Linked DNA regions of Pelodiscus sinensis. The protein of the gene in region 1 purifies or fractionates together with the protein of each later gene. This does not show direct contact. Links are inferred from orthologs where the notes say so. Each region holds a gene or a part of one and is shown in the gene's direction. Other genes may lie near its edges.

Evidence for each region. Proteins that work in one complex are often made in the same cells at the same time.
Region 2: the proteins of TNRC6B (region 1) and AGO3 purify together in Homo sapiens (affinity purification with mass spectrometry; 6 studies listed by BioGRID and IntAct, with this or other methods). This does not show direct contact. The link is inferred for Pelodiscus sinensis from reciprocal best matches to the Homo sapiens genes TNRC6B and AGO3.

The regions. Positions count from the first base shown.
Region 1 is NC_134711.1:90,363,994-90,374,865, reverse strand, and holds the start of TNRC6B (trinucleotide repeat-containing gene 6B protein), read left to right. Parts: upstream 1-5,874; 5' UTR 5,875-5,991; intron 5,992-6,045; exon of another isoform or gene 6,046-6,184; intron 6,185-6,190; exon of another isoform or gene 6,191-6,266; 5' UTR 6,267-6,360; intron 6,361-10,872.
Region 2 is NC_134735.1:7,594,240-7,605,159, forward strand, and holds the start of AGO3 (protein argonaute-3), read left to right. Parts: upstream 1-6,267; 5' UTR 6,268-6,568; coding exon 6,569-6,587; intron 6,588-10,920.

The DNA.
Region 1 (10,872 bases):
GTTATTCCAGCATTGGTAATCCTTATTCTATGAGAGAGAAGCCTTCTTGCAAAAGAGCTGTTTTGCAAAAAGTTGTGTGTGGATGGGGAAGAGGGAGTTCTTTCGGAAGAAGAGGAAAAGGCACAGGTGCTCTGATGCCATTCTGTCCATAGCAATTACAGCTTACATGTGAGAGAGTGTTCACCCAGCCTGGATGCTCTTTCAAAAAAGCGGATCACTTTTTCTATTCATTTTTGCAGTGTGGCTGCTCTATTTCAGAAGGTTTTTTTTGGAAGATCTCTTCCGAAAAAAGCTTCTTCCAAAAGAATCTGTAGTCTAGACATAGCTGTGTGTGCCAGACCTGTGGAGGAGGGTAGGGGGAATGGAGTGCCAGATCAGGCTCCCCAATGCTGGAGGGGGAACCCTAAGCCTTGGGCTAGATCCAGGCAAACTGAGGGCCACATTCAGCCCCTGGGCCTAAGGCAGGCATGTCCAAAATCTGGCCCGTGGGCCAATTGCGGCCTGTGTTCCGGTTTAATACGGCCCCCCCAGGTAATTTGGCAATATCTATCTTTTATGGCCCCCAACGAATCCATATGTATTGAGATGAATACATTGTAAAATCTCAGTTAATGTCATTTGGTCTAAATCAGTTATAAATATATTTGGACACAACATGTATACTTGGTGTTATGTTCCTGTTCATATTTTTTGAACTTAAAAGTTGACAGACAACCTTTATTACCAATAATATGTAATGTACTTTACAATGTTCCTGACATATATTTCAGCTTCCTGGATTTTTTTTTTTTCATCTGGCCTTCAGATATGAAAGGCAGAGTGATTTAACACCTGTTTAGATTTGTCATCCATGTGACGAAAAGAAAAATATGCCGTTTGCAATAAACTTTGCATAAAATAGTTAATTTGCATTTAATTTTAATGGTTCAAAGAATGTCAGGCAAAATGGTCGGCCCTCACACATGTTCACTTCATCAAATCTGGCCCTCGTTGAAAAAAGTTTGGACACCCCTGGCCTAAGGTCTCCCACCCCGATCTAGAAGAAATGGCAGTGAAAGCTATAATAGTCATGAACAAAAATTCAACTGTCGTGTGCAGTTTTGTCACAATACTTCAAACCTAGCAAAGAGATAAGATACTTAAAAGAAGAAACAGAAGAATGTTCCTTAATAAATTCTGGCTGCAGTGCCCATTTAATGCATTCTTTAGCCAAAGACTTAAGTGCCTTTTCTCCAGGAATAAAAAATTGTTGAAGTTGAAAAATTCTTTTGTAACCATTTTGTTTCAGTGTTACTGAAGAGAGCGGGAGGATTCAAACTAATTCTCCCTAACAAGGTTCTATGGAATTCTGTGGTTGATTGTTTTGAACAATTTATTAAAAATTGGCCTAATCTTTGTGAAGAAAACCGTGATTAAATATATGGAAGTGTCTCATGCAAAGTAACATTGGAATAAAGAGTACTTTAGAGGACGTGCTCAGCTTGCTGATGCTATTGAAATTTTAAAGGCAGTTCAAGAGACATTGATGAAAGAAATACCTCACCAGAAAGTTAAACTGCAGGCAATAAAATAAAGAAGCGAATGAATCAAGCACGAACTCCACATTATTTTCTTGAGAACATTCTTGACCTCAGGTACAAAGATAGATGCTGAATTTTTCAAGATACTGCTGCTGCCATACCATAGGCATCTCAAAAATCACTCCTCAGTTATCCAAGTCATAATAAATTTCAGGGCTGGAGCGAAACCATTTAATTGGTACATGTTTAGTGATTTTTTTTTTTTAAAACAAAGTCTCTCCCCTGACTTGGTGGAAATAATTACCTAGGCAAGTTCCATCAGTGGCTAAGCCAACTTTTCACAGCACTAGCTTCCTCTGCAGGCACAAAAAATATTTTCATCATTTGGTATTTCTCGCTCAAAGCTAAAACTGACTGGGAGAGGGGAAAACCAGAAAAAAATCATTTTTGTTTATCTATGAATTAAAATGGAACAGTAGGTGTTAAAATGACAATAGGAGTGTGGAAAACAAGAGCTAGTTGTAGAAGTTCTAAGGATACCATACATTTAGTGTTGTGGTTGTTTGTGTTAAAAGTTAAACTTTTTTAATTTTCAAATTATATTATGCACAGTAGGAAAGATTAAAAAATGTTATTCTAACAGTATAGATGCTAAAAATTTTAGTGGTTACATGCTAACTCCCCAGGAGCCAAGCTGGCAGACACTGTGCTCCAGGCTGCCAGCCCCACTCCCAGGGAGCCAGCTACCAGCCCGTGACCTACAGACTCTCATAGGGTATGTCTACACTACCCTCCTAGTTCGAACTAGGAGGGTAATATAGGCATACCGCACTTGCAAATGAAGCCAGGGATTTGAATTTCCCGGGCTTCATTTGCATAAGCGGGGCTCCGCCATTTTTAATGCAAATGAAGCCCGGGAAATTCAAATCCCGGGCTTCATTTGCAAGTGCGGTATGCCTACATTACCCTCCTAGTTCGAACTAGGAGGGTAGTGTAGACATACCCCTATAGACTCAGTAGCACAGGGTGGCAGCCAGTTCCCCAGGAGCCAGTGCACGCCAGGAGCCAGCTTTTAAGCTGGCTCCCTACGTGTACTAGCTCATGGTTGCTGCATTGCACTGCTGCCTCTGATACAGAGACTTCTGTAATTTAATTTTTAATATTTTCTAAATCTACACTGAGCTTTTTTTTCCTAATAGTTCACTGTGGTTGTTCTACACAGCTGTCTCAGTGTAGAAGCCAACAGGGTATCAAAAGACTAATGGCAGTCAAGAAAACACTAATGTAGTGTTTAGGGAAGTAGTGTTTAGGGAAGTACTGTAACATGTAGTATGTGAGCAATAGACCAATTTTTTTTGTACAGCTTCATTTGCTCATAATTCTGTATAATCAGTGCAAGATTAACATGCTCTCTGGACATGAAAACGGTCACAGAGAAGGGGAGTTGGTGAGCGTAGCAAGCAAGGGGGCACAGCCCCCTAGTTAACTTTTTAGTTCCATTATCCTTATTATCTCTTGAATCTTTGGTAATAAACTTATCTTTTTTTCACTATGAACTATCTAAATGCTGTGATATTAAGCAAGGTGCTGATCCTGAGTTGTCATAGCTAGCATATAAACTGTTCCTTTGGGGAAAGCAGACCTGGTATTTCTGTGAACTTCATTAGATAAGGGTCTGGATGCTACAAGTGCGTGTTCAATAGAGCTTGGGGACTATGGTGTGCCTATTTTTAACCTGTAAAGCAAAATAAGGCTAGCATTGGCTAGAGGAGAGTGCTCAGGTGGCTAAAGAGCTGTTGATGTTAGGGAACAGACACTCAGCTAAAGACAAGCAAGTTTCTCACATGCTGGAGGCAGGGGTTGACAAGGTACCCCTTAGAACTATTACACTGTCCCTGGGCTTCTGCTGTTCCTTGATCTCTGCATAAAGCCCCTGGCTACGTCTACACTGGCCCCTTTTCCGGAAGGGGCATGTAAATTTCATGAGTCGTAGTAGGGAAATGCGCGGGGGATTTAAATATCCCCCGCGGCATTTAAATAAAAATGTCCGCCGCTTTTTTCCGGCTTTTAAAAAAGCCGGAAAAGAGCGTCTACACTGGCCCCGATCCTCCGGAAAAAGTGCCCTTTGAAGTAGGAATAAGATCCTCCGGAAAAGGGCACTTTTTCCGGAGGATCGGGGCCAGTGTAGACGCTCTTTTCCGGCTTTTTTAAAAGCCGGAAAAAAGCGGTGGACATTTTTATTTAAATGCCGCGGGGGATATTTAAATCCCCCGCGCATTTCCCTACTACGACTCATGAAATTTACATGCCCCTTCCGGAAAAGGGGCCAGTGTAGACGAGCCCCCTCTATATAATTTCAATCACTCCTTAACAGCTCTCCCCTCACCTGCTAAATATTTATCAGCAGGGTCTACAGAATAAAACTAAATTAATAGAATACTAGAACTGGAAAGGATCTCAAGAGGTCATCAAGTCCAGCCCCTGCCCTCATAATGGGACCAAGTACCATCTAGGACTAGGTCATCCCTGATCGATGTCTAGCTAACCTGCTCTTAAATAACTCCAGTGATGGAGATTCCATGATCTCCTTAGGCAATTTATTCCAGTGTTTAATCACCTGGACAGTAAAGAAGTTTTTCCTAATGACCAACCTCAATCTCCCTTATTGTAATGTAAGCCCATTGTTTCTTGTCCTATCATGTCAAAAAGAACAATTTTTCTCCCTCCTTGTAACATCCGTTTAGGTACTTGAAAACTCCTATCATATCCCCTCTGTCTTCTTTTCTAAACTAAACAAACACAATTCTTCCTGTCTTTCCTCATAAGTCATTTTTTTTGGACCTTTAATCATTTTTCTTGCTTTTCTCTAGACTGTCTACAATTTCTCCACATCTTTCCTGAAATATGATGCCAGAGTACTCCAACCAGGCCTAATTTGGAGTATCTGGACCAAGGTGGGTTTTTTTTAAAGTAAACTACAGCCATGATTTCAAAGCACTGTGGAAGAAAACCTGGCTTCACTGACATCAAAGGCAAAACCCTCCTCTCCTTCAGGATAGTGGTAGAAATGTATCCCTTAGTCTGGTGCTGCTGAAACAAAAAACAGGACTATGTAGCACTTTAAAGACTAACAAGATGGTTTAATAGGTGATGAGCTTTCGTGGGCCAGACCCACTTCCTCAGATAAGAGTAGAAGAAAATTGTTATATGGTTGTGACAATTTTCTTCCACTATTTGATCTGAGGAAGTGGGTCTGGCCCACGAAAGCTCATCACCTATTAAACCATCTTGTTAGTCTTTAAAGTGCTGCACCTTCCTATTTCTCCTTCAGGCTGCGATCCCTTCAGTGTAAAACGCAGGAGTGCTGGAAAGAAGCCTAGGGCAGGGCGGCGGCTGCGCAGCGTAAAGGAGACGCTCCGTCACCTCACTGCTCTACCTGGTTCCTGTGGGTCACAAACAAGGGTTTCGCGTGAGACCCCCCCCCCCCAGACGCCAGAAAGGCGATTCGCGCTGTGCTGTGGCCGCTGCAGCAGCCAGGAGACCACTGAGATCCGTGCCAGAGTCACAGCCCAGCGCCGGCTGGGGCCGCGCTCGAGACTGTGGCTGCAGCAGGCAGGGCCGGGCTGAGACTGGGCCGCTGGATCAGGCTCTGCGGGGATGCACTCGGGCCGTAGACAAGCAGCTGAGGGGCCTCAGGATTAGCGCTCTGCGGCGCATGACAACGGGCCAATCAGAGGCGCGCTTAGAGGGAAGCCGCCCTATGACGCTATCAGTAGCTATGGTGGATACGCTTACTGTTGCCAAGGGCTGAAAAAGATGATAGGCGGGACACCCCAAACGCTTTCACCAATGACGTGCGCGCTTCATTAAGACTGACACCTTTCAGGCCCAATAGCGTTTCCCTCCGGCTATAACCTGCACGGGGCGGTGCAAGCTGGGGATAAATAGCGTCGCAAGCTGTGCCGGGTGTGCCCGTGTTGCGTCTCAGACAATAACTAACTGGGGGCGGGGCGTTGCATTTGTGGGTGTTTATCGCTGGGGCCCTTGTTGGTAACTTGGACACCAGTCAAACGCCTTCCCTCTGGCCGGGACCACACGGGAGCCGCTGTGCGTGCTTGATTGACGGTGATTTTACCTAGCTGAGCTAGGTAGTGCTGCCGGCGCGCAGTGACGCACCAACGCAGAAGTCTCTTTTAAGACCCGCAGCTTGGTGGGCGGGACTTTGTTTTGTGACGGGCCCAGCATTCATCCAATGGGTGGGAGAGAATAAAAATACAACCCAATGAAGGGTGCGGAAGAGCCCGAGAGTTGGGCGCGTTCTCGTCCAACGGCCTGGGTGTATAGCCAATGGGGAGAAAGGAGGAGGCGGTGCCAGACAATGAGTTAGGTGGAAGATGTATGTGACTGTCAGTGAGTGTAGCCAATGGGTGGGGAGATGGCGATGATGCCAGCCAATTGAAGTCGCAGAAAGGTGGGTATTGATGTGATAGGCAAGGGTTGTGGCTAATGGGCGGGGAGACTACGGAGACGCTATCCTATTAACAGTACGGAGGGGTGAAAAGAGGCGAGGTGTGTGATCGGCAGGAGCTGCGGCCAATGGGGGCGGACGCTGGCGCAACCCTGGCCAGTGAGCTGCGCAGGGGGCGTCACGGAGGCGTGTCTCGGTGTGTTTGGGTTCGTGCTCTCGGGGGGAGGGAGACGGCGACGAGGAAAGTTTTTATTTTTTAAATTGTATTTTGTTTCTAGTTTCTGGGGTTCGCGCTTCCCCTGCGGGTGACGCGGGTGGGTGAGAGGAGCCGCCCCCGGCGCTGAGGAGAACGGAACTACGCGCACCTCGGCGGTGAGTACGGGACAGGCCCCCCAGGCACAGGCAGCGCGGCGGGGGTCTCCGTCCGTCTCCCTGGGGCCCCGCGCTGCGTCTGTTCCCCCGCCCTCAGCGGGAGGGGTGGGGGCCTGGCTGGAGAGCCGCCCCGCCCGCCAGGGCTCCCTCCGGGCCACTCCTGCCTCGGAGCCGCAGGCGGCCGCTCGCTGGTCTCTGCCTGGGCGGTCCCGCTGGCTGCCCTCGGCCGGCTGGGGACTGAGGCGGCGCGCGCGGGGCCGGAGGGTGGCCCTAGGCCGGCGGGGTTTAACTGGTGCCCGAGCCCCGCCCCGTGCGGAGGGAGGGGCGGCTCCAGGCTCAGCCCGCGGGAGCCGAAACGGGAGCCGAGGCCCTGTGTGGGGCCTGCAGCGCTGCTCTGCCCGCGGCGTGCGAGGCCAGCTTGACCCGGCACGGCCTCGGCAACCGGCAGCGCGCGGGCCAGCGCAGAGCCTCAGTTGCCGCCGCGTAGCGCGCTGCGGGCCCCAGGGAGTGAGCAGGAGACTCTGAGCCCTGGCGGGTGGTTCTGCTTCCCGGCCGCCCCCAAGCAAGCCGCCAGCAAACCTCCAGTGGCTGGAGTTACCCCGCTCCGCTGCGTGCGGATGCGCTCCTGAGGTTATGTCGGTAGCACTACCGACCACATTGGATTTGTTGCATACGCGGCTGGTGGAATGAGTTTAGAGGCGGGAGGAGTAACCGAATTGAAGAGGAGTGTCCCAAGCCAAAGCCACTTTTCAGAGCTATTCCTGGCATAGGAAAATCCGAGGCGACACATTGCTAGGGCTGCTTCTCTCTCACTCTCGTGCCTGCTTTGTGGTGCTCCTTATGTTAATATATACGCTCTATGACTACATAGGGAAGTAACTGAAGTCACCTAATTTTGTGAGGCGTGGGCATGTTTTTTTTGTTAACTCAAGCCAAAAAATAAGTGGTCATGCTGAGGCCCCTCCATTTGCATTCACAGTCATACATGACCCTTCCGTTTTACTGTCCCAGTTTAGTTTCTATAACAGGGGTGGGCAATACTTTTTGTAAGGGGTGGGACACATCACCAATTTTGGTGGTAGTGGTGGCTGGCTGTGGGGCAGAGGAGCACATGAGATCTCTTGCACCTGCCCAGCCGAGGCACACAATGCCTAGAGGGAATTGCTAGTGTTTTGAACTGCTGGCCGTTCCCTCTGGAGCAGTGTACCCCTGATGGGGGGAGGAGACTCCATGCACTCTTCTGACCCTGGGTCTTGATTGGCCTGGAGGCAGGGCGCAGCGCTGCCAGCTGCAGACTGGATCAAATGGCTTGGCAGGCTGGATTCAGTCCCTGGGCCATATATTGCCCTTTCTATGAAGAAGCTTTTTTAATGTCAAAGTATATCTTGCTTTTTTAACTTTTGGGTTTAATATCCAGATTATTTTGAGGTGTCTGTACAGACTAGGGATGTTAAAAAGTGCTTAATTAGGTAACCATGTAACTGTTAAGTCTTAGCAGTTATTCGTAATGGGCTCTGCAGTATAAAGTTTTAACCCCCGGAGCTGGGCAGGCAGCAAGTGTGCACTGGAAGCTGGCTCTCAGCTGCTGACTCCACTCCTGGGGAGGCCTACAGCATGGGGCGGCAGCTCACTTCCACCTCCTGCTCTGCTCTTGGGGACCCAGTTGCCTCCCTTGCACTGCTGCCTCTGATTCAGGGTGGGTTGGGGGGGAGAAGAAAGAGAACAGGGTGAGGGGTGGTCTGGATTGAGGGGAGGAAGGGGTCCTTAGCCTTAGCCCAAGTCCCTGCCTTGAAGGACCCAGGCAAGGCGGCTGGTTAAATCTGCTAGTTTAAAAAAAAAAAAAATCAGTGTACCATTTGTCTCCTGGGCTATGTGTAGCAGTGAACAAAATGAATATTGTTGTTTGCGGGATTTGGCACTAAATCTTTTTATTACAGCCTAGCTATAGAAATAGGCTGCTTTTTGTACTCTAGGTAGCTGTTACTGTCAGACAGATGAAGCTGCCAATATATATTTCTGTTTAGGCCTTGCCTGGTTGAGCGTAAGTCAACAATTCTCTGATTTCTGACCTTTCTATTTCAGTGTATAATAAAGGGTGCTCTCCTGATACCAACAACAATAAAGTTGATAACTTTTAGAAAGATCTCTTTGTATCCTTCAACTATGTGAACTCTTACCTGTATGATCAGCAAAGGAGCAGATTTGTTTGCAAGTGTTTGATAGTTCATTCCATTTGTGAAGCAATGGATATAGAAGAAGAACATATAGCATTTAGATAATGCTTTGTATTTTTTGAAACAAGGGACAAACAATCCGTATTCACATCACCCTTCTCGCATATTGAGTCCAGTGATATTGTTAACTTTGTCCTATGGCATGGACATTGTGGCTATGTCTACATTTGCGGCTTCTTGCGCAAGTAATATGCAAATGAGGCTAAGCATGGAATATTGCTGAGCCTCATTTGCATACCTAATGAGTCACCATTTTTTTTCAGAAGAGGCTCTCGCGCAAGGAGTGTCTACACTGCCCCTTCTTGCGCAAGAAAAACCCTCTTGCGCAATGCCGTTCTTCCTGAAAAGTAAATAGGTGTAACGGCATTGCACAAGAGGATTTTTCTTGTGCAAGAAGGGGCAGTGTAGATGCTCCTTCTTGCGCAAGAGCCTCTTCTGAAACACATGGTGGCTCATTAGGTATGCAAATGAGGCTCAGCGATAGTCCATGCTTAGCCTCATTTGCATATTACTCGCGCAAGAAGCTGTGAGTGTAGACATAGCCTGTGGGAGAGGGTTCTGAAGCTTTTATTTTTTCATGAGTACTAGGAGTTGTAATCTCATCTTGGATAACTCTTTGTTTACAGTGTATTGAACTATGGAGATGACCTTTACTAGTTTCACCAGGTCTGTATGGATCACATTTCTGAGGGTTGGCAGGCTCTTTAGTTCAGAAATCAAGCTAAGAAATACATTTAAATGATTGTCACTCATCTACACAAAATCTGATGAATTACTTCTGTAGAAAAGTCTTCTGAGTTTGTTTCACTGTTTTAATCTTTATGTAGTTAAATGAATATAACTAGAAACTGGGGGGGGGGGGGAGCTCTCTTAACCAGTGAGTCTCTTTTGGAATGGGGAAAAATATATAATCAGATTTAGTGAAAAGGAATGGAAGGTACTATTAAAATATAATGGAAGATGAATGCCATGAGAGAGAGGAGTCAAAATGAAAGTGTAAAATGATAGGCAGCAAGAGGATCCAAATACAAGCAGAGAAGGCAGAAGATCAAAGGCCAGAAAGCTAATTAGTGGATCAGAGGTTAAGAAGTCAAACTGAAAAATGAAGGGGTGATAGTTGGGGAGGGAGGGCAGCTTAAGCAGCTTGACAGAGTATTTGGAAAGAGATGATACAGTAATGACATATTGCTTTAAAGAGAAATGAAATTGAGTTCTGAAGAAAGGTAAAAGTCCCCTACACTTATTTAAATTTACTTTTTAGAAATTCCGTCTCATAATTCATCACAGTCAGTATTAAGAAGCTTTCTAGGGAAAACTGGTGAGAATTCTAGTACAGTCCTAAACTACTTGGAAAAGGTAAAGACTGATCTACTATGGAAGACATGATGAGTTCCCTGATGTTCCAGAAGCACTGTAGCTCAAAACATTTTTTTTTTTTTTTTTTTTTTTTGTATAGAGAGCTTCTTCCTTTGTCTAGCTGACACATTCCTGTTTCTGCCTCCTATCTTAGGGCTAGTCTATGCTACTGAGGGAGATCAATTTTAAGTTAAATGAATAACGTAGCTGAATTTGACATACTTACTGCTGTCTCATCTCTGTGGTGCATTTATAGGAGATTATCTCCCGTCGTTTGCCCTTGTGCTTCTTGTTCCAGTGGAGTATGGGACTCGATGTCTAAGCGATCAGCCATTGATTTAGTGGGTCTTCATTACACCTGCTAAATCGACTCCTGGTGGATTGATCTCTACTTTCTCAATCCAGTTGGTAGAGGAGACATACCCTACCCTATGTAGTCCCACATAAGGCAACCCTTGCTAAATAATTGTCTCTGTTTTTGCCATACATACCTTGTTTCTGCTTTGAGGCCTAGTCTACACTGGGAGTTTAGGTTGAACTTGGTGGCATTAGGTCACCTTTTTTCCCCTAAACAATGAGTCCATACCACCAAGCCCATTTTGTCGCCTTTAAGGGCCTCTAAAGTCTGTTTCTGTACTCATGCTCTCACAAGAAGTAACTGCTAAATTCAACCTTGCATGGTTGACTTTCTGGTAGCGCAGAATCAGCGCTTTGAAAGTCAACGTTCTTGGCCTCTAGGCGGTGTCGTACGCTGTCCCTTGATGACTGCTCTGGTCACAACTTTCAACTCTAGTGCTCTCTAGGCGAATATGAAAAACCCCTGGAAATTTTGAATTTTGTTACCTGTGTTGCTGTTATGGTGAACAGACTTCAAAATAGGCAGCACTCCTGACCATGAGTTCCCAGGGTCACAGATGAGCAC
Region 2 (10,920 bases), on another chromosome or scaffold:
GCACTTCACTGTTGGTGATTCCATCCCTCCAGGAGATTCCAAAGATTTAACAAAGGCAGCACAAATGAAAGATGTTGAGTTTCTTTTCTGGATGAGACTATAAGGTCCATGCCTCTCTCCTGTATAAAAGTGTGCTGATAAAATATGCATGACACACACATCTTTGTGTGGTCTGTCCATTTGTTTGGTCTAGATACTGTTGTGGCAGCTTGTCCAATGTGGATGTTGAGTCCCATTTCAAGTGAAAAGTTGACTGCAATAGTGGTCTGTAGGCATGTAAACTTGTTCATCGCATCTTGCTGGAGGATGTTGAGAGAGAGAGTGTGTTTGTGTGGTATGTGTCCTTTGTCCTTGTCAATGTCCTGCCTCTCAGGAGTCTTTCACAAATGGAAAAATATAAAGATATCCAAAAGGCCAACATTAAGGTTGTGTTGTCAGTGTCTAATGACCACCTTCGTCCCTCAAGTTCTTCCGTCTAGCCCAAGGTTGTAGCACACTTCAAGGATTTGTTTAAAATGAATGAAAGACTTAGTGTAAGCTTATGACGCAGGAAACATTTTCAGTTTGGGGGGGGGGGGGCACACCTTGTAATCACTGTAGCAGCAGCAGCTACTGGCATGGCTAGAATAGTTTTTAATCCAGACCCATGTTCTATCCTGGGGCCCTGGAAAGAAAGATCATTCTCTAACCTGCATTACTGTGTGTAGTGGTTCTCGGTCTACTGCTGTGGGGGAGGCAGAGTGTATCTCTCTCTCTCTCTCTCTCTCTCTGAACTTGACCACCAATGCCCTTGGCACAGCATCTCTTCCAGCACTGGCATTATGCCTCTCTCAAACCTTTCAGCTGCATCTAGACTGGCAAGGTTTTCCGCAAAAGCAGCTGCTTTTGCACGAAAACTTGCCAGCTGTCTACATTGGCTGCTTGATTTTGCGCAAAAGTACTGACGTTCTACTGTCCGAAATCAGTGCTTCTTGCGCAAATGCTTTAATGTTCCTGTTCGGGCAAAAGCCCTTTTCTGGAAATGTTTTTGCGCAAGAGGGCCAGTGTAGACAGCTAAAAACTGTTTTGCACAAAAAAGCCTCGATGGCGAAAATGGTGATGGGGGCTTTCTTGCGCAAAACCCCGCGTCTAGATTGGCACCAATGCTTTTCCGCAAAAAGTTCTTTTGCAGAAAAGCGTCTGTGCCAATCTAGATGCTCTTTTCCGCAAATGCTTTTAACGGAAAAACATGCCAGTATAGATGTAGCCTTCCTGTTCCTAAACTTGTTGCTGTGTTTCTGCTTCCTGTATGCCACAACGTTACCCTTTCATTTATACACCCCGCTCCCCAGACAAGCTTGTTTAAAGGCCCTTCGCGGTAGATGTGCTCCCCACTGTGTGTCTGTGGTAGCAAAACCCCAAAGGGCTGACAGAGGAGCTTGGTATCTTAACCTTCTTGACACTACAGCATTGCAGTCTTGTCACTAGACATCCTGGAGTTTACACTAGCCACCATTTTTTAGTTGTAGCAAGTCCACTGCATCCCCACAGTACTCCCTGCAATATGGCAGTGTCCTTGGGAACGTCCTGCTATTCCTAGTAATTCCCCGTTGTCTCTTCTTCCGTAAGCATTCAGATTTCATGTTCTATCCATATAAAACACTCCAGTTTCCCAAGTGAAATAGCATATGGAGTTGAAACACAGAACCTTAAGCAGGCAGGCAGTGGGGGTATTTGTGGGTTTTGGCCAGGCCCAACTAAAATGTCAGTGCAGTCTGAACTGTCTCTGCAAAGGGGCAGAGCAATTTGGTGCAGCATGCACTGGACGTGAGCTTTCCTTACTCAACTACAATTACAGCAATTTTAGCAACTCTTTGAGTGCCAGCACAAGCAGTTTGTATGGACAGCTGTGCCAAAGTGCTTCCACTGCTGTCATTCTCTGGCATTGGAGAGCCTGTGAGCAGTGATATCGCAGTGTGGAATTGGGATAACAGCAGAAGCTGGCTTCAACTGTTGCAAAGTAGTGCCTCTACTAAAGCATGAAAGGTACTGTATGCATTGGCTTTGGGAGTGGCCAAGGAAAGCTTCGACTTTGAGGTCAATAAGAGGATTGGAAGCTACCTTTGCTTTTCAGATGTGAGATAAAAAGGCATTTCTTAAGAATCCCGCTTCTTAAAGCAGGTGTAAATTCCCACTTTAAGCTGTGTGCAGCTGGAAGGTTACCATAAACCACAGGCAGCTGTGGTTTGCCCTGCAGCAGGAACATTATGTCCTGCTCTGATACTGAGCTGCCTGTTTCAGAAAATGTTTTTGGTTTGTTTTTAGGTAAAGGGAGGGTGTAGACCAGATGTTTGGGTTTTTCCTCTCCTTACTGGTGTCCTTTATATGGGCCTTATTTCATAAGGATGGAAATTTAACTTCTCACCCTATTCAAAGCCCTTAGGGCTTTATCCATGTTGAGCCTTTTTTAAAAATCTGATCCAGTTCTTTCATCCCAACAGTTTCTGTACAAATATAAGCATTATCAATGTAAAATCAGGGTAGTAATTTCCCTGTCAGTCTGCTGTTTAATATACATTGCTCTAGTTATAGCTTTCAATGTGTTTAGCATAGCAGAAAGAGCATTCCCCTCCCCTTCCTCCTATACCTACCGGTATTGGCAGGGTAGCAAGCACCAGCTGTAATTCCAAGAACAGCATTTGGCTTTTGTGTGGCTGAAGAAGTTGTCAGAAGCTTACCATTGCTGCTTTTCCTGGCTCTTGGAAGGAAATAATCCTGCCCTAAACAGCTGATGAAACTGGGCAGCTAGTGCCAAACACAGTACTAGTATCAGCTGGGGCTGGCAGCACAGCATTGCCCATTGGGCATGGTTAATTATAGCAGGAAGAGATGCAACATAGTAGAAGAGGGCAAACACAAAAGGGGCTGCTTTTCCCCCCCTGTAGCATGCACCACATATAACAGTGTCAGATGAACATTCTTACCCCTATTTTTCTTTCCCATACTTTTATTCCACCAGCCACTCTAATGGGAATTCCTCAGCCCCCCCTCCCCGGGCCCCATTTTGTGTGAGAGAAAATAATTCTGATGGATATGGCCTATTCCCCACTACACACCCATACACAAAGCAAATTTTGGTAAGTGTATATCCATGTTTCCATTGTGGATTGGTTTGTTTTTAAAAGAGGAAAAATTACAGTGATACTCCTGAGGATTTATTGCAGGAACATTCTAAGCTCATCTACTGAGGGAATAACATGTCTTTTAGATAGAAGCTGGCAGGATGAAATGTACTAATATTAATCATCTGGACTATAAACTGTACTTAAGCATCATTTCACCCCCACTCCCGAAGGACAGACGCCTTCCGTTGCTGATACATTTTATGTAAGTTCTGGAAAATTTAAAGTTACTTTCTCCCATTTTGCCAGCTAGTTAAAGGCACACATCGTCCGATTTAGGCCAAAATTTAAAACATGGTAAAAAATAAGACTGTGGGAAACTTAACAGCAATATAAATGTATCTACAATTTAAAAGACAAGACAGCTATTTTAAAACCCTAGAAGCATGTTATCTCAAATGGTACAGCACTGAAATTCTGAAAGGGAACCGTAGCACAGGCAAAAATGTAACCAATTTTAATTTTCACAAATTAAACAGACTGATGCAAAAAGTAACAAGCGGCCATAAAAGGTGAAGGCGGTGTATTCAAAAAATCCCTTTAACATAACTAGCAGTGGAAGTACAGTAAAATAACAGGGCAGAATATATTCACTAAGCCTAAGAGCTATCTCTTGGGGGTTAGTACTGGTTCTCTTGCCTTAAACAGATAATTTAGCTCCACATGATTTCTTTGTTCTTGTTATTTAAACTCTCTCCTTTCTGGCTCTGTCATGTTTTGTTTTCCAGCTGTTGTGCATATGCACTTGTACTAGATGTCACAGATCCCAGCAAGTACCTTTTCCCATTAAGGGTACATCTACACTACAGTGCTATTTTGGGATATTTCCCGGATCTTGAACTAGCTATTCCGCATCTTGACAGCATGTCTTATTTCGAAATAGCTTTCAAAATAACAGGCATGCTATTCCAATGTCCCTGTAAACCTCATTCCACAAGGATTAAGGGACATTTCAGAACAGCGGTTTATTTCTAAATTTGGCACTGTGCACCCTAAGGTTGCGTCTAGATTGGCATGATTTTCCGGAAATGCTTTTAATGGAAAAGTTTTCTGTTAAAAGCATTTTTGGAACAGAGCGTCTAGATTGGCACGGACGCTTTTCCGCAAAAGCACTTTTTGTGGAAAAGCGTCCGTGCCAATCTAGACGCGCTTTTCCGCAAAAAAGCCCTGATCGCCATTTTCACGATCGGGGCTTTTTTGCGGAAAACAAATCTGAGCTGTCTATACTGGCCTTTTTGTGCAAAAGGGACTTTTGCCTGAATGGGAGCAGAATAGTATTTCCGCAAGAAGCACTGATTTCTTACAGTAGGAAGTCAGTGCTTTTGCGGAAATTCAAGCGGCCAGTGTAACAGCTGGCAAGTTTTTCTGGAAAAACTAGCCAGTCTAGACACAGCCTTAGAGTGCTGTGAAGAGACTCTAAGCCTCTGTGTTCTGGATCACCAGAGTATTTCAAGCTCCCAGAGTCCAGTCACTTTCATGAACTCGGACCCTACATACATACATACAGAGTGCAGATTTATCTGGTACCCACCCATCTAGGCTGTGTCTACGTTGGCACGATCTTGCGCAAAAGCAACTGCTTTTGCACCAAAACTTGCTGCCTGTCTACATTGGCCGTGAGTTCTTGTGCAAGAACACTGACGTTCTAATGTATGAAATCAGTGCTTCTCGTGCAAGAACTATGATGCTCCCGCTCAGGAATAAGCCCTCTTGCGCAACTGTTTTTGCGCAAGAGGCCAGTGTGGACAAGCAACATGAATTTCTTGTGCAAGAAAGCCCTATAGTTAAAATGGCCATTAGAGCTTTCTTGCATAAGAGCATCTACACTGGCAAGGATGCTCTTGCGCAAAAGCACATCTCTTGCACGAAGGCACATGCCAGTATAGACAACTCTCTTCTGGACGTAGCCCTTGTCTTGCTAGACGGTTCTCAAACTTTTTGGCTCACGGCCCACCCTGCTCAATGCAGATCTTTCCATGGACCACCAGTCAACCACCTAATGTGTTAAATTGCATTTAGTCAGCTAATCCATTGACTACTAGATTAACCAATAAGGGGGGGAAAATGCCGAGTTGCCATGGGGTTAGCTCCTGGCCCCAGGCAGCTCTTACTACATTTAAAAGCCAGAGGTGCAGTGGGGCACTGGGTGCAAGCCCCCACACACCTGAGTCCCAGCTCAGACCTGGTCCTCTGCTGCATCTCTACCTCCGTTGTCCCCATGTGGAGGCAGTGCTGAGGGAAACTAGCTTTTAAACCAGCTCCCCCAGCACCTCCTGCTCTTGACTAATGGCTTGAATACCTGATAAGTATAAGCTTCTTGAGTAGTTGACTACTCGCTTACATCCCTACCACCCATGATGATGGGTGCCGGAGGGGCTAGGGATGTGGGGGTCTTACCTGTGTCTCTGCCTCCAGTTGCTCCTAGGCACCACCCCTACTGTTCCCATTGGCCACATTTCCAGCCAATGGGAACAGTAAGGAAAATCTCTAGGCTAGCTGGGGGAGCAGCCGCACATGGAACTTCTTCCTTCCCCTGCAAGCCAAATCCAGCCCATAAGGCTTACCCCACTCCTTTCAGCAGCAGAAAGCAGGCACTGGTGCGGGGGCAGGGAGGGCACCAGCAGCACCATCTCCCTGTGGCTAGCCTCCCTATAAGATGATAGACCAGGGGTTCACAGGGACTGCACTTTGTCCAGAGCCTCCCACACCGCTCCCGGGCCCAGAGGTCCTGCGCCTCAATCGCTTCCCATCCCCCCCCCTGTTCTGTGGGTAGGGGGGCGTCCTCTGTACCCCCCATCTCCATGGGGGGGCAAAGCAGCCCATTGGCACGGGCAGCCCCCCCTAGATTGCTGTTCCCCACCCCCACGACACCAAGGGGTCCAAGCCCCTGTACACCCTCCACCACCCCCACGCGAACGGAAGTGCCGCCCCCAGCGCGTGACACTGCGTCACCCTTCTACCCCCCCTTCTCCTCCCTTTACTCCCGCCCTCCGTTGTACCACTTCCGGGCCCGCCCCTTCTGTGCGTCACGGTCCGCTCCAGAGTGGGAGGACGGCGGAAACGCTTCGCCGGAAGTGAGCGTACCCGGCGTGCGCTGGTGGGCGGAGCTTCCGGCGCGCGGCAGGGCACTGGGCAAAGAGAGAGCGAGCGAGCGAGCGCGAGCTGGGGCTGCTGGCGGCCACGCAACTTCCGCTCCTGAGGCTCCCGCTCGCCGCTCGCGCCGCCTCAGAGTGGTTTGGCCCCTGGCGGCAGGGGGAGGAGGCCGCCCCGCTGCTGTCTGCCTCGCAGCCCCGCTCCCGGGCCGGCCGGCCGGACCCGGCGCCGCGCGCAGAGCGGGGGCTACTCTCTGTGGCGAGAGGCAGGATCCTAGTCCCGCAGCCTGAGAGCGGCCGCCCCCAGCTCCATGAATGGAAATCGGCAGCGCAGGTGAGGGCGGGGGCACCGTGGCGGGGGGGGGATCTGAGGCGCAGGTGAGGGCGGGGGGAGGGGATCTGAGGCGCAGGTGAGGGCGGGGGCACCGTGGCGGGGGGGATCTGAGGCGCAGGGGCAGATCCCGGGGGGAGCGAGCCATGAGCTCCGGGCTGGGACAGGGGAGGCCGCTGTGAAGGGGGCAGCGGGCACTTTCTGGGGCGCTGGGGTGTGGGAGGCTGGGGGGGAGATGAGCACGGCGGGGCTGTGAGGCAGGGAAGGGGTGCGCAGGGGAGGTGACTGGGAGGTATTGGGGGTGGGACGAGAACGAGGTGCCAGGCTGATCCCTTCTGAAATTACCTCGGGGTGTGTATCACTGGGCTGGGGGATCCGTCCTCAAGCCCTGACCTCCGTGGGGACCCTCTCAAGAGTCCGCCTAAAACCAGATTGCTCTGCTCGTGGCTCCCAGGAGTGGCTTGGTATCAAGCACCGTGATCAGGTGCAGTTTTAGGCAGCCACTGAACGGGCTGAGACCATAAAATCATGAGCCTGCCCTGTCAAATACTGGCTGAGGATTTTGTGTGTATAGGGGCGAGGTGGGAGGTGTGTGCTAGCACACCTCTGTGGACATCTCTCTCAACCATCACTACCTGAAAAACCTTGTGGAGTTAAAAAGAAGCTGGTATTTCTAGCAGCCCTGCCGAATTATGATGAGTTTAAGGGTCTGAACTGAGAATCATTTGCCTTGTATCATGATGATTTTGGGATTAGGGAAAAGATATTTTACTGAAACACCCAGAACGCATATTATGCTAAGAGGACTCAGAGGGGTAGGCATGTTAGTGAGAGGAGTTTTGCAAAGTTTTGCTTGTATGGTGTTATATATAATTATTAAGAATGGTGTGATTTCCTGTTTATTTGCTTGTTTAAATTCACATGCTTTGTTTGTTGGATGTTATTTCTGTTTAATCATGGCTGTTTACTAGATGAAAATATTTGGGCAGGTACTATTGATGGAATCTTAATCATAGGAAATATAGCAGAATATTAGTTTGTTCTCTAGGGCTGTCACCAAATGGTAAAAAAAAAAGTGATTTATCATAACTGAAATTTTCCAAAACTAAGTAGTAGTGTTGTGTGCAGTCTGGCCTGTGATGACTCCTTTGAGATGATGTTGCCATGAAAACTGAAGCTGTCACATAAAATTGATAGTTGTTGAGGAAAGGGCTCTGTGTAGCTCAAAAACATGTCTCTTAACATCTGCTGTTGGTGCAATAAAAATATTTCCTCACTCATAGTGGCTCAGTCATCAATAAAGTGAGCACTTTCTAACATCTATTATATAAAACAAATGTGAGGCATTGTTGACAGTTATGCAACTGATAGATTAAGCTTTTTAAAAGATTCTAAAGTCTGATTGCAGTCTGGTCTGTTCAATACAAAAAATAAGTCTGGATGATATTAATTGTAGCACTGATTAGGAATATGACCGAGCCAAAACCATTTTAGGAGGCCAGTGGATTGTATTGATCTGGTGACATATTATTAACCCTGAATTTCAGCAGTTTGAACATACTTTAAAAAACTTTTACAGATTGTTTTACTGACTACCTGTACCCTCATGTTGAATACATTTACATCATGAGGATATGGAGAATGGGTCCATCAATGACTATTAGCCAGGATGGTAAGGGGATGCACCACCATGCTCTGAGTGTCCCTATCCTATTTGCCAGAATCTGGGAGTGAATGAAAGGTAACGGTCACTTTGTGATTGCCTGTTCTGTTCATTCTCTTTGAAGACCCTGCCGTTGGCTACTGTTTAAAGACAGAATACAGGCTAGATGGACTATTGGTGTGACCCAGTAGGATCACTCATATGTTCGTTCTTGATAATATCTGGTTTTGGTAAAAGAGGTAATAAAAATACAGTACCCACTTAGTCAAACTCTTGTACAATCAGCTCCCTAAACTGTACCAGCATCCAAAATGACAAGCTTGTGAGGTAAATCTTGTTTAGCTTCTGTGTTTCACATTATCTGCTACAAGGCTATAGTATATTTGGTTGTAACAAGGCGCAACATTAAGGTATGTGCTCAAATATAACCAACTAGAACATCACAGTTTAAAAATAACTAAGATGAGAAATTTGAGGTAGGTGTACTGGAATGCAGATGACAGAAGAACCCAGTAAACTGGGAAATGGGAATATGAGATCCAGATTAGAAAAGCGGCGCCAAGCTGTTGCTCCTAAGTAGTAGATAATTAATGTTAAGTTTAACACATTTCTGGGTGATGATGGTGATGGACTCCTGAACTTCTAAGTCAGATATGTTAAAATGTTGTTGCCATGGAGCTGATTGTAGGGACTCTGGTATAGATGAGTCAGTCAAAAATAGTGTTTTGCTGACTTCAGAAAAGTTATGAATGTAATTTGATTAAAAAGGCCAAAGCAGTTGTTTGAACCTACTGTTTGAATGATAGTTTATAAGTATTGACATTTTAATTAAAAAGTTAAAATACTTTTCTAATGTTACTGTTTTAGAAAATTTTATATGGCAGGTTTAAAACGTCATTTAAATTGCACAAGAATTTGATTTATTTTCTTCTTCAAACTTCTTTTATTAATGTCCAGTAACCTCTGAGGACCACAATAAAAAACAACCTGTATCTTGTAGATGAGGGAAGGTAGGGAACAAAGTCATAAAAGGTATACTTTATTCAAGGGCACTTGTTTATGATGTGAGCTACATTGGTGCTTTTATCCTTTGGAGTTTTGAAATGAGCTGCTGAATCAGAAGTGGTATGATTTTTACAAAAAAAGAGTCCATATTTAATCTTGATTAAAAAACTCTTCAGTTTAGTAGACAGGTGGATAGCAAGTAGGTTATTGCTGGAGTTAATTCCAAGTACTTATTTTTATTTGGATGTATAAGAGCCAGGGCCTACGGCTCTGGATGCCCTTGATGTTTTCTTTAAAAACACAAATCATAACAGACAAATCCAGCAGAACATACTATAAAGAACTAATTCAGTCGAAAGATCAAAGAATTACTTCATCCCTTCCCAGTTCATCCCTTTAGATTGCACCCTGATCCCCAAAAGTCCTGGTATAAAAATCAGCTTTGCAGACTGTGAGGAAGATCAGCAAACTCTATCTGTTTCTGCCCAGGGAGAATGGTAAGAATGGGTTTCAAAGTTGAGAAGCTGCCGCCAATATTTTTCTCTCTTAATCAATGAGGTTCTGGCAGTGTGGTAGGGGGAGAGAAGTGGCCTTTCCAGTAGGTAAGATTATTGCCATTTGGTGCTTCACTGATCAAAACTAATGTATTAAACTCTACTTGAAAACCTGGAGGCAATCACTGCAGATTGCACACATTATAGCAGTTTCTGTCGGTGAGAGATGAATTCTCCACCAGAATTAGCTTCCGAGTGAATTTAAGATGAACTATCCTGGAGAGAACACTGTTCATTGGGTGGCTTGTGCTTTCTCTAATCGCTTCTTAAACTCTGGGTGACTACCGTTTAAGGAATTACCATTTATTGTTCTCTGGATAATGTTATCTAGGAACTAGGTTAAACTATTGCCATCATCTCAGAGAAGCCATCATGGTACTAAGTCCTAGGGGAGACAGCTCACAGGTAGTTTTTACTTGTATGTAGTCAGTGAAGATCAATCCTAATAGAGATGTAGTCGTGTTAGTCTAGGCTAGCTGAAACAAAAAACAGGACCTATACCCTAAAGTGGGGTTACCTTGACTAGTTCCATCCAGTTAAAAACAACATAGGTCCGTCCCCCTTTATTCCACTCCAGATTTTACTAGTTAACTATACAGATGTTTTTTGTAAGTGAAGACACAGCTTCAGTCTGTGGCAAAATATGTCATTGAAGGATCACATATGTGGTCCCCATTAGATGATTTATTTCACATACACTGCTGAATATAACAGTTTTCTGTGAACTATGCTCACAATTCTTTAAAAAAATCTGATTTGAGTTAAAAATATCATCTTGTTCCAATCATTCAGTAACACTGAAAGTTATAGTTTAAGGAATCAGTGGTAATATAGTCTAGTGTTACAATAAAATTATAATTTAATTCATAGTTAATTACATGCTTTTGGAGGATAGATTAGATTTTATCACTTTAAAAATAGCAATATAATTTTATCACCTTGAAGAAAACTTTGCAATTTACTAACATGGCAGAATCCAATAGGATTCCATATATCCATGATCATAGATCAAATGCTTGTATTTCTGCAGTAGACTGACAATTTCAGAATTATAAACTAATTTTTCTAGTAACAGTTAATCAAAATTGAAAAAAAATTGTGCTAAAATCTTGTT